Schizosaccharomyces pombe: one gene and its partner. The protein of the gene in region 1 interacts with the protein of each later gene in a biochemical or structural test. Each region holds a gene or a part of one and is shown on either strand. Other genes may lie near its edges.

Evidence for each region. The genes of interacting proteins can lie anywhere in the genome.
Region 2: of the proteins of spb1 (region 1) and pch1, one has a biochemical effect on the other in vitro, tested with the Schizosaccharomyces pombe proteins (one study listed by BioGRID).

The regions. Positions count from the first base shown.
Region 1 is NC_003424.3:920,451-924,210, forward strand, and holds the start of spb1 (rRNA methyltransferase Spb1), read left to right. Parts: upstream 1-1,830; 5' UTR 1,831-1,863; coding exon 1,864-1,933; exon of another isoform or gene 1,934-1,974; coding exon 1,975-2,068; exon of another isoform or gene 2,069-2,120; coding exon 2,121-2,297; exon of another isoform or gene 2,298-2,442; coding exon 2,443-3,760. Other genes in the region: protein mcp1, read left to right, coding at 1-266, 319-1,560. UniProt on the Schizosaccharomyces pombe protein: Required for proper assembly of pre-ribosomal particles during the biogenesis of the 60S ribosomal subunit.
Region 2 is NC_003423.3:2,792,856-2,796,615, forward strand, and holds the start of pch1 (P-TEFB-associated cyclin T Pch1), read left to right. Parts: upstream 1-1,965; 5' UTR 1,966-1,989; intron 1,990-2,054; 5' UTR 2,055-2,110; coding exon 2,111-2,289; intron 2,290-2,346; coding exon 2,347-2,891; exon of another isoform or gene 2,892-2,934; coding exon 2,935-3,239; 3' UTR 3,240-3,460; coding exon of another isoform or gene 3,461-3,760. Other genes in the region: gamma-tubulin Gtb1, read left to right, coding at 47-162, 221-287; protein Cwf12, read right to left, coding at 367-872, 964-1,096, 1,158-1,172; SPOM_SPBC32F12.07C (MARCH family ubiquitin-protein ligase E3), read right to left, coding at 3,461-3,760.

The sequences.
Region 1 (3,760 bases):
ACAGACTTAGGAAAGAAAAAAACATTGAAATTAAAGAGGAATTAAAAAAACTGCAGGATTCTTTGTCTATAAAACTTAGCATGCCCGCTGATGATTTGTCCAAAAACGGAATAAAGCATTTGATAATTTACAAGGAGAAGCTCAGATTTTCTTTAGAAAGCAGGAAGTCCCGGGTCGATGAAATTGTCAACGAAATGAAAAATATGTGTGGTAAAAACCCGACTTCTGAGTTACCGACCAACTATAGTGATAAAACCTTGACTTTGGTAAGAATTTGATATTTTTATTAAAATAATTATTTTCAAACTAACAATATAGTGGGAAAATGAACTTTCGTCCATGCGAAAAGTGTACTTTGTTAAGTATAAAACTGAATACGAGTTTTTACAAAAAAGGTACCTTTCACTGGCTCGCATAATGTTCGTTTCTAAAAAAGAAATGTTGTTTACATCTCAATTTAAAGAAATACCTAACGTTAATCGAGAATTAATTCAAAGTATGAAACAAGAAATTGGGAACCTAGAAGTTGATCTCCATCTTCAAGGGGAATTGAACAACATGATTAGGCGGTATCTTCTCTTAGAGTCTAGGGTTTATAAAGAATCTCAAAGAATGAAGGTATTGTCTGGATCAGCTTCGCAGCCTTTCACTTTAAAGCGCTTGCAAAAGGATTTTCAATTACTGAAAGCTAAATTAATATGCGCATTAAGGGAGTGGGAGGAGGATAACGAAAAGAAAATTTATGTCTTTGGAAAACCATTGTCTTCAAGATTATTAATGATACATTCTCCACCAATTTTGCAGAATCAAGAGAATATTTCCTCTAATGACAATAGCAAATCTTCACCAGAGTCATCGCCACCTGCGCGGAAAACCACAGGTAAGATCGAAAATAAAAAGTTAAGAAACATTGATGTCCAAAGCAAAAAAAGCATTCGTTTTCCTCTTAGGCTAGCCTCTCATGAAGAGCCGTTAATTGATAGAATGGTTAACCAAAGTCCTGATACTCGAAGTGTTTCGAAAAGTAAGAGATTAGTAAGGGAAACATCTAGTGGTTGCTTATTCAAGAATCATTCTAAAAGTAATACACTTTCCCCTAGGAGGAAAGGCTCTCGGCATGGTCCCAGAGAGCCGTGTTTGTCTCCCGATGCTTCATCTTCGTCGATTCCGGTCACTGATATAAAGGAGATACTTCCTTCGCAGCACGACACACCTCATAACTCTGTCAAGCTTACTGGAAGTTCGACGACTCCTGCTTCTGTGTCGCTTCGTCAAATGATAGAGCCATTGTTATCACGTACTCCTCCCAAAGGTGAATTTACTAATTCACTTGATGATACACCGACTCAGTCTAATGTGGAAAAGGTTGACAGGTTTTTGGAAAACCATGATTGGGAAACGTGTAGTGAATCTTCCTCTGCAAGTGAAGATCAAAGTTTATGTAAACAACTATCTTCTTTTTCACTTTCCAGTAGTGATATCTCAAAGAAGTTAAAAAACAATTTAAATGGGCTACACTTTTCGTCTGATGAAGGTTCTAAACTACCTACTTTTCTATAATTTGTCTCTCGTTACTCTACAATATTTTTTAATATACTTACTATTAATGTATGAATATAATGAAATAATTCGTAATTTTTTTAACTGAGCATTAAAATATTGTAGTATTAACATATTCAAAAGCAATTTTCTCCAATCTTATTTCATACTGTTTAATATTTTTTTATCTTATTCAAAAATAAACAAGATTTTTAATTTTAAGTGCTTTGACAGTATCTTTTCTTTAGTCTATGTTGTAGTGTACTGTACGCTATTTGCCAGTTGCCTTTTGCCTTTCACCAATTTTTGCACCGATAAAACCACATGGGTAAATCACAAAAAAAGACGGCCAAAGGCCGTTTGGATAAATGGTATAAGCTTGCCAAAGAACAAGGTATTTATTAATAGCTACAATGAACACTTTTTAACGTTTAGGGTATCGTTCTCGTGCTGCTTTTAAATTAGTGCAATTGAATCAGAAATATAGTTTCCTTGAAAAAGCTAAAGTCATCATTGATCTTTGTGCTGCGTAAGTTGTATAGTTATTATTCAAAATCCTTTTACACTGACCGTCAAAACAGTCCAGGTGGTTGGTTACAGGTTGCTTCTAAAACATGCAAACCTGGCTCATTAATCGTTGGTGTTGATCTTGCTCCTATTAAACCCATTCCTAATTGCCATACGTTTGTTGAGGATATTACAAGTGATAAATGCAGATCGCAATTGCGTGGATATTTGAAAACTTGGAAAGCTGATGTGTAAGTAATTGATATGCTGCAGGAAGCGGTTAAACGGGTGCAACTATTCTTGTTTCACTTGCAATCTTAGAAATTTGATTGAACTGATTAGAATATTTGTTGCCCATATTGGTTTTTGTCGAATTTTTATTAATGCATTGAGCAGTGTTCTTCATGATGGTGCACCAAATGTTGGTTCTGCATGGTTGCAGGACGCCTATGGACAAGCTCAGTTGGTGCTAATGTCAATGAAATTAGCATGTGAATTTTTGGTTGCTGGTGGTACATTTGTTACAAAAGTTTTTCGTTCAAGGGATTATAATAATCTTTTATGGGTATTCAAACAACTTTTTAATAAAGTTGAGGCTACTAAACCTCCATCTTCTCGTAACGTCTCTGCAGAAATTTTTGTCGTATGTCGTGGGTACAAAGCACCAAAAAAGTTAGATCCTCGCTTTACAGATCCTCGTACCGTTTTCGAAGAAGTCCAAGAGCCAGTTACAAACGTTGATGCAAAAGTGTTCCATCCTGAAAAAAGAAAACGTAGTCGTGAGGGTTACGCTGACGATGATTACACATTACACAAAACTGTCTTGGCATCGGAATTTGTTACCGCAAATGATCCCATTCAAATCCTTGGTACATCCGCTGAAATTGTATTCCCAAAAGATGATGAGGAATGTCAACGCTTATACAATTTAGACGTCACTACTGAAGAAATTCTTTTGTGTTGCTCAGATTTACAAGTATTAGGTAAAAAAGAATTCCGCGATATTTTGAGATGGCGACTGAAAATAAGAGATGAGATGGGTATAGGTAAAAAGGTAGAGGATGAGCAAAAAACAGTGGTTGAGGAGATTCCTGAAATGGATGAAGAAGAGAGACTGGATCAAGAATTACAAGATTTGAGTGAAGCCGAACGTGTTAAACTCAAACGTGAGCGTCGGAAAGCGAATCAGCGTAAACAGCGTGAAATTGTTCGTATGCAAATGGGAATGTTGGCCCCAATGGATATTGGCTTGGAACATGAAGCCATGGGCGAAGACAGTTTGTTTGGTCTAGCAACCGCTGAAAAGCATGGTTTAAAAGAATTGGAAAATGGAACGCTTCCCGTAACTGAATCTGTTGACGAAGAAGTTTCTACGGACAATGAAGTCGAATACGATAGTGACGATGAGCGCGATCGCTTAGAGGCTGACTTGGATTCAATGTATTCTGATTATACTAAACGCAAGGCTGAATCTGATGTGAAATATCGCGTTAAAAAAGCGCGTGGCGATCTTGATGATGAAGAATGGAACGGTATAGATAATGGCACCGAAAGCGATGATTCTCAGATTGCTGAGACGAACTTTGCTACTCCTGATAAAGACAGACTGACAACGTCTTTGTTAGACAAAGGTTCGACTAAGGATGGGCTTAGTAGAAAAGCACGTATGTTTTTTGACCAGGACATTTTTGATGGTATTGAAGATGCCGATGCT
Region 2 (3,760 bases), on another chromosome or scaffold:
GTTTCTGCAAATTTTTTTTTGAGACATTTAATACTAATCTTTGTAGTTATTCAAGAGAACACTAGATCAATATGATCGTTTGCGGAAACGAAATGCCTTTTTAGAGCAATATAAAAAGGAGGCTATTTTCGAAGATGATCTTAACGAATTCGATTCTTCTCGGTAAGTATCTTGTCTTATAATTTCATATTTTGAGTTAATTTACTAATGTATTTGACAGCGACGTCGTTGCCGACTTGATCAATGAATACGAAGCTTGTGAAGATCCCAATTATTTATCTCTTTAAAAAATCCTTCATAGTTTACGATGTCAAAGCAGACTTAAAATATAAAATTAATTCTCCTATCCTAGTCCTACTTCATAATCTATGAAATTCTGCTCAGCAAAGCATTTTTACGCCTTTCTAAAAGAATGGCTTCAACATCGTCTCTAGTTGGTATTTGCTCAATGACAAGAGGTTTCCAATCTTGTTCAACTTCATCACCAAGGTTCTCAAGATGTTTATGTTGTTGTTCTTCAATCTTTGCCTCAAAATCTTCTAATAGACTCTCTTGTGCTGGCGGTATGTAACCAAAGTACCAGGCGTCTAACCTTCTTTTCTGCATCTCCTGTTTGCGCTGTCTTTCCGGTATAAAACTCATATCAGCTTCAAAAAGTTCCTTAACGCCAGGTAACTCTCGAGCTCTTCCGTAATAACGATAATCGTCTATATCACTGATTTGTTCTCCTTCATCCTCAAATAGCTTTGCTTTATTATACAGATAATTAATCCCACCCAGATCACGAATTTGTACCTCCCATTCGTGTTTTTCACGCATCAATCGATTAATTGCATCGTTCAAATCTCGAATTTGATATTCAGGCAACGTTGCTATTCATGGTTAGAATACACAGAAATGATAAAAGCGGAATCAAGTTTAGCAAGTTAATTAAATTTGCTAATAAAACAATCTAGGACGTACCACTTTGAATTCGAGAGATCTTGCGAGAGATATCTTTTACTACACTAGCCCTATGTTTTTCACATATCGGCACAGACTTAATGCTTTTTATATCCTTGGGTCTCTTTTCCGTTGGTTTGCTGCCCACTACATACTATAACAAAGGGGTTAGTGACTGACGCTTAGGTTCTCATGCATATTCGTATGAACCTTACTTTCGCTGATGACATTGTAAAATTAAATGAAAATGATAGACTTGGTAATTAAAAAAATAGAGAAGGAAAGGCTCATTAAAATTTGACACAGAAAATAAATAATATAGACAAGTTTTATGGTATTTATCGAAATCAAGGCAAACCCAACACTTAATTAATTGACCTTCAACAGCCAATTCTTATTTAAGTACTTGAAAATTTGCTCAAGTTCCACCGATTGTGAAGACAAGCAAAAAACTTATAAGCAAGAAATTGAATGCATACAAGTAGTTATTTCGTGTAAGAAACACTTTATAAAACGGAAAAGAACAGCCAAAGTGAATAAGCTTATTGAAGCGCAACAAGCTTCTTAATTCATGGATAACGAAGTCCTCTTCTAAAAAAAGTACTAGTCTAAATAGTAACTAAGTATTTTATGTTCACTACAATTAAAGGATGATATTATTGCATAAATGGTCCCTTTCAAAATGATTACCACTTTTAATCCATCGTATTCAATATACTGTCAAGAATTAGGCAATTGTTGATGAAGTAGGTAACATCAATCATTTGGAAAAGTTCATTTCATCTCTTTGGTATCGGCTTTAACCTAAAAAAGAGTTGTTTATAAGAGATTAGCAGAACGATTTATAAGTATACAGTTGATTTTTTGAATATCTTACAAAGACTTAAAATTAAACAATCGTTGAGACCGTCAAAATCGTTAAAACTGACTTACGAATTATTCTAATAATCACTATATTCAATCAACGTAAATGGACAAGCATCGTTGTGGTAGATTTCCCCCTGAAAGATAGTAACCACCCTCCATTCTTCGCATTCTTTAGTTGAGGTATGTTAATTATATACTAAATGATTTACTGTTCTTTGATTTTGCTTATTCTTGCTCAATTATAGTTTGTTTTTAATAATTTGGCGACGGTAATCTCATATATAAAATCGATGAATTTCACATGAGTGAAGTAATAAAATCTGTACCCCCGGGCTCTCAAAACACTTCTCAGTGGATAATAAGTAAAGATCAGTTGGTATTTACTCCATCTGCATTAGATGGGATACCTTTAGATCAAGAAGAAATTCAAAGATCTAAAGGATGCAATTTCATTATAAATGTCGGGCTGAGATTAAAACTGTACGTTAATTACGATGTATCAGTTCAGTAAATTAATGAAACTAACAATAATAACAGACCTCAAACTGCGCTTGCTACTGCTAACATCTATTTCCATCGATTTTATCTTCGATTCTCACTCAAAAATTATCATTATTATGAAGTTGCTGCTACTTGCATTTTCTTGGCAACCAAGGTTGAGGATTCCGTTCGTAAACTTCGCGATATTGTAATTAACTGTGCAAAGGTTGCTCAAAAAAACAGCAATGTTTTGGTTGACGAGCAAACCAAAGAATACTGGCGGTGGAGAGATGTTATCTTGTACACAGAGGAAGTACTGTTAGAAGCTTTATGCTTTGACTTTACGGTTGAACATCCATATCCTTACGTCCTAAGTTTTATCAAAAAATTCGTGGCTGATGATAAAAATGTCACTAAGGTTGCTTGGACATACATTAACGATAGCACTAGAAGTATCGCATGTCTACTTTACTCTCCGAAAACTATAGCTGCTGCAGCATTCCAATTTGCATTAGAAAAGAACGAAATAAATCTCTCTACTACGACTGATGGGCTTCCGGTATGGATGGAAGAGTCTCAAGTTTCTTATGAAGACGTTAAAGGTATATTATATATTTTTTTATAGCCTTAGCACTAACAATGCAGGAGTGTTGACACTAATCGACTCGTTATACAAAAAGATAAACCCTTCCAAACAAGCCCTTCCAATCGACCAAAAAAACGGATCTCATGCTTCCAGCGTAGCTCCTGGGACACCGTCGTCATTGGCTTCCGTCTCGACACAAGCTACCCCTCAACATCAAAATTCATCAGGAAGAACTGACTCATTTCATTCCCTAAACACAGAAACCCCATCAAAAAGTACGGTGGACGACCAAATACTGTCGACAGCCGCCCAGCCAAAAAAATCATCTGATACAGATAAAGAGATGGAGACGGAAGCTTCATAAAAAAGAAAAATAATTCCAGATTGGAAATTTTATAAGTTATAAAAATTATTAATGCTATCAGCATCTTTATATTTATTTTTGGATTCGAATAAATCGATAACACGGTTTTAGAATATTGCTCGTAATAAAAGGCTTAAATTAAGTTCATGAGTATTTTTAAAAAGTAAATGCGTGAAAGAAATATTGCCGGAACTTAACAGTTTGACAACTTCATTGTTTGCTTATGAGTCAGAAACTCTACGAGGATTGTCGAGAATTCGAATGCTCCAGGGTTTTCTCTTTCTCCAAGCAATGAAACCATAGACAAAAATGTCCTTAAAAACTAATGCAGCAAAGGCACCAATAATGCTCTTCTCTAACTTTGTGAAATTCCCTGGAATAAACCTTCCCAAAAATTTCCCTGCTAATGGGAATAGTAGAATCGGTCGAACAATACGGAGAATTTTCGTAGTAAAAGCATCAAGGAAAACGTGTGCCACAGACAAAAGAATCCAAAATTCAGATTCTGTATCTTCTCTTTC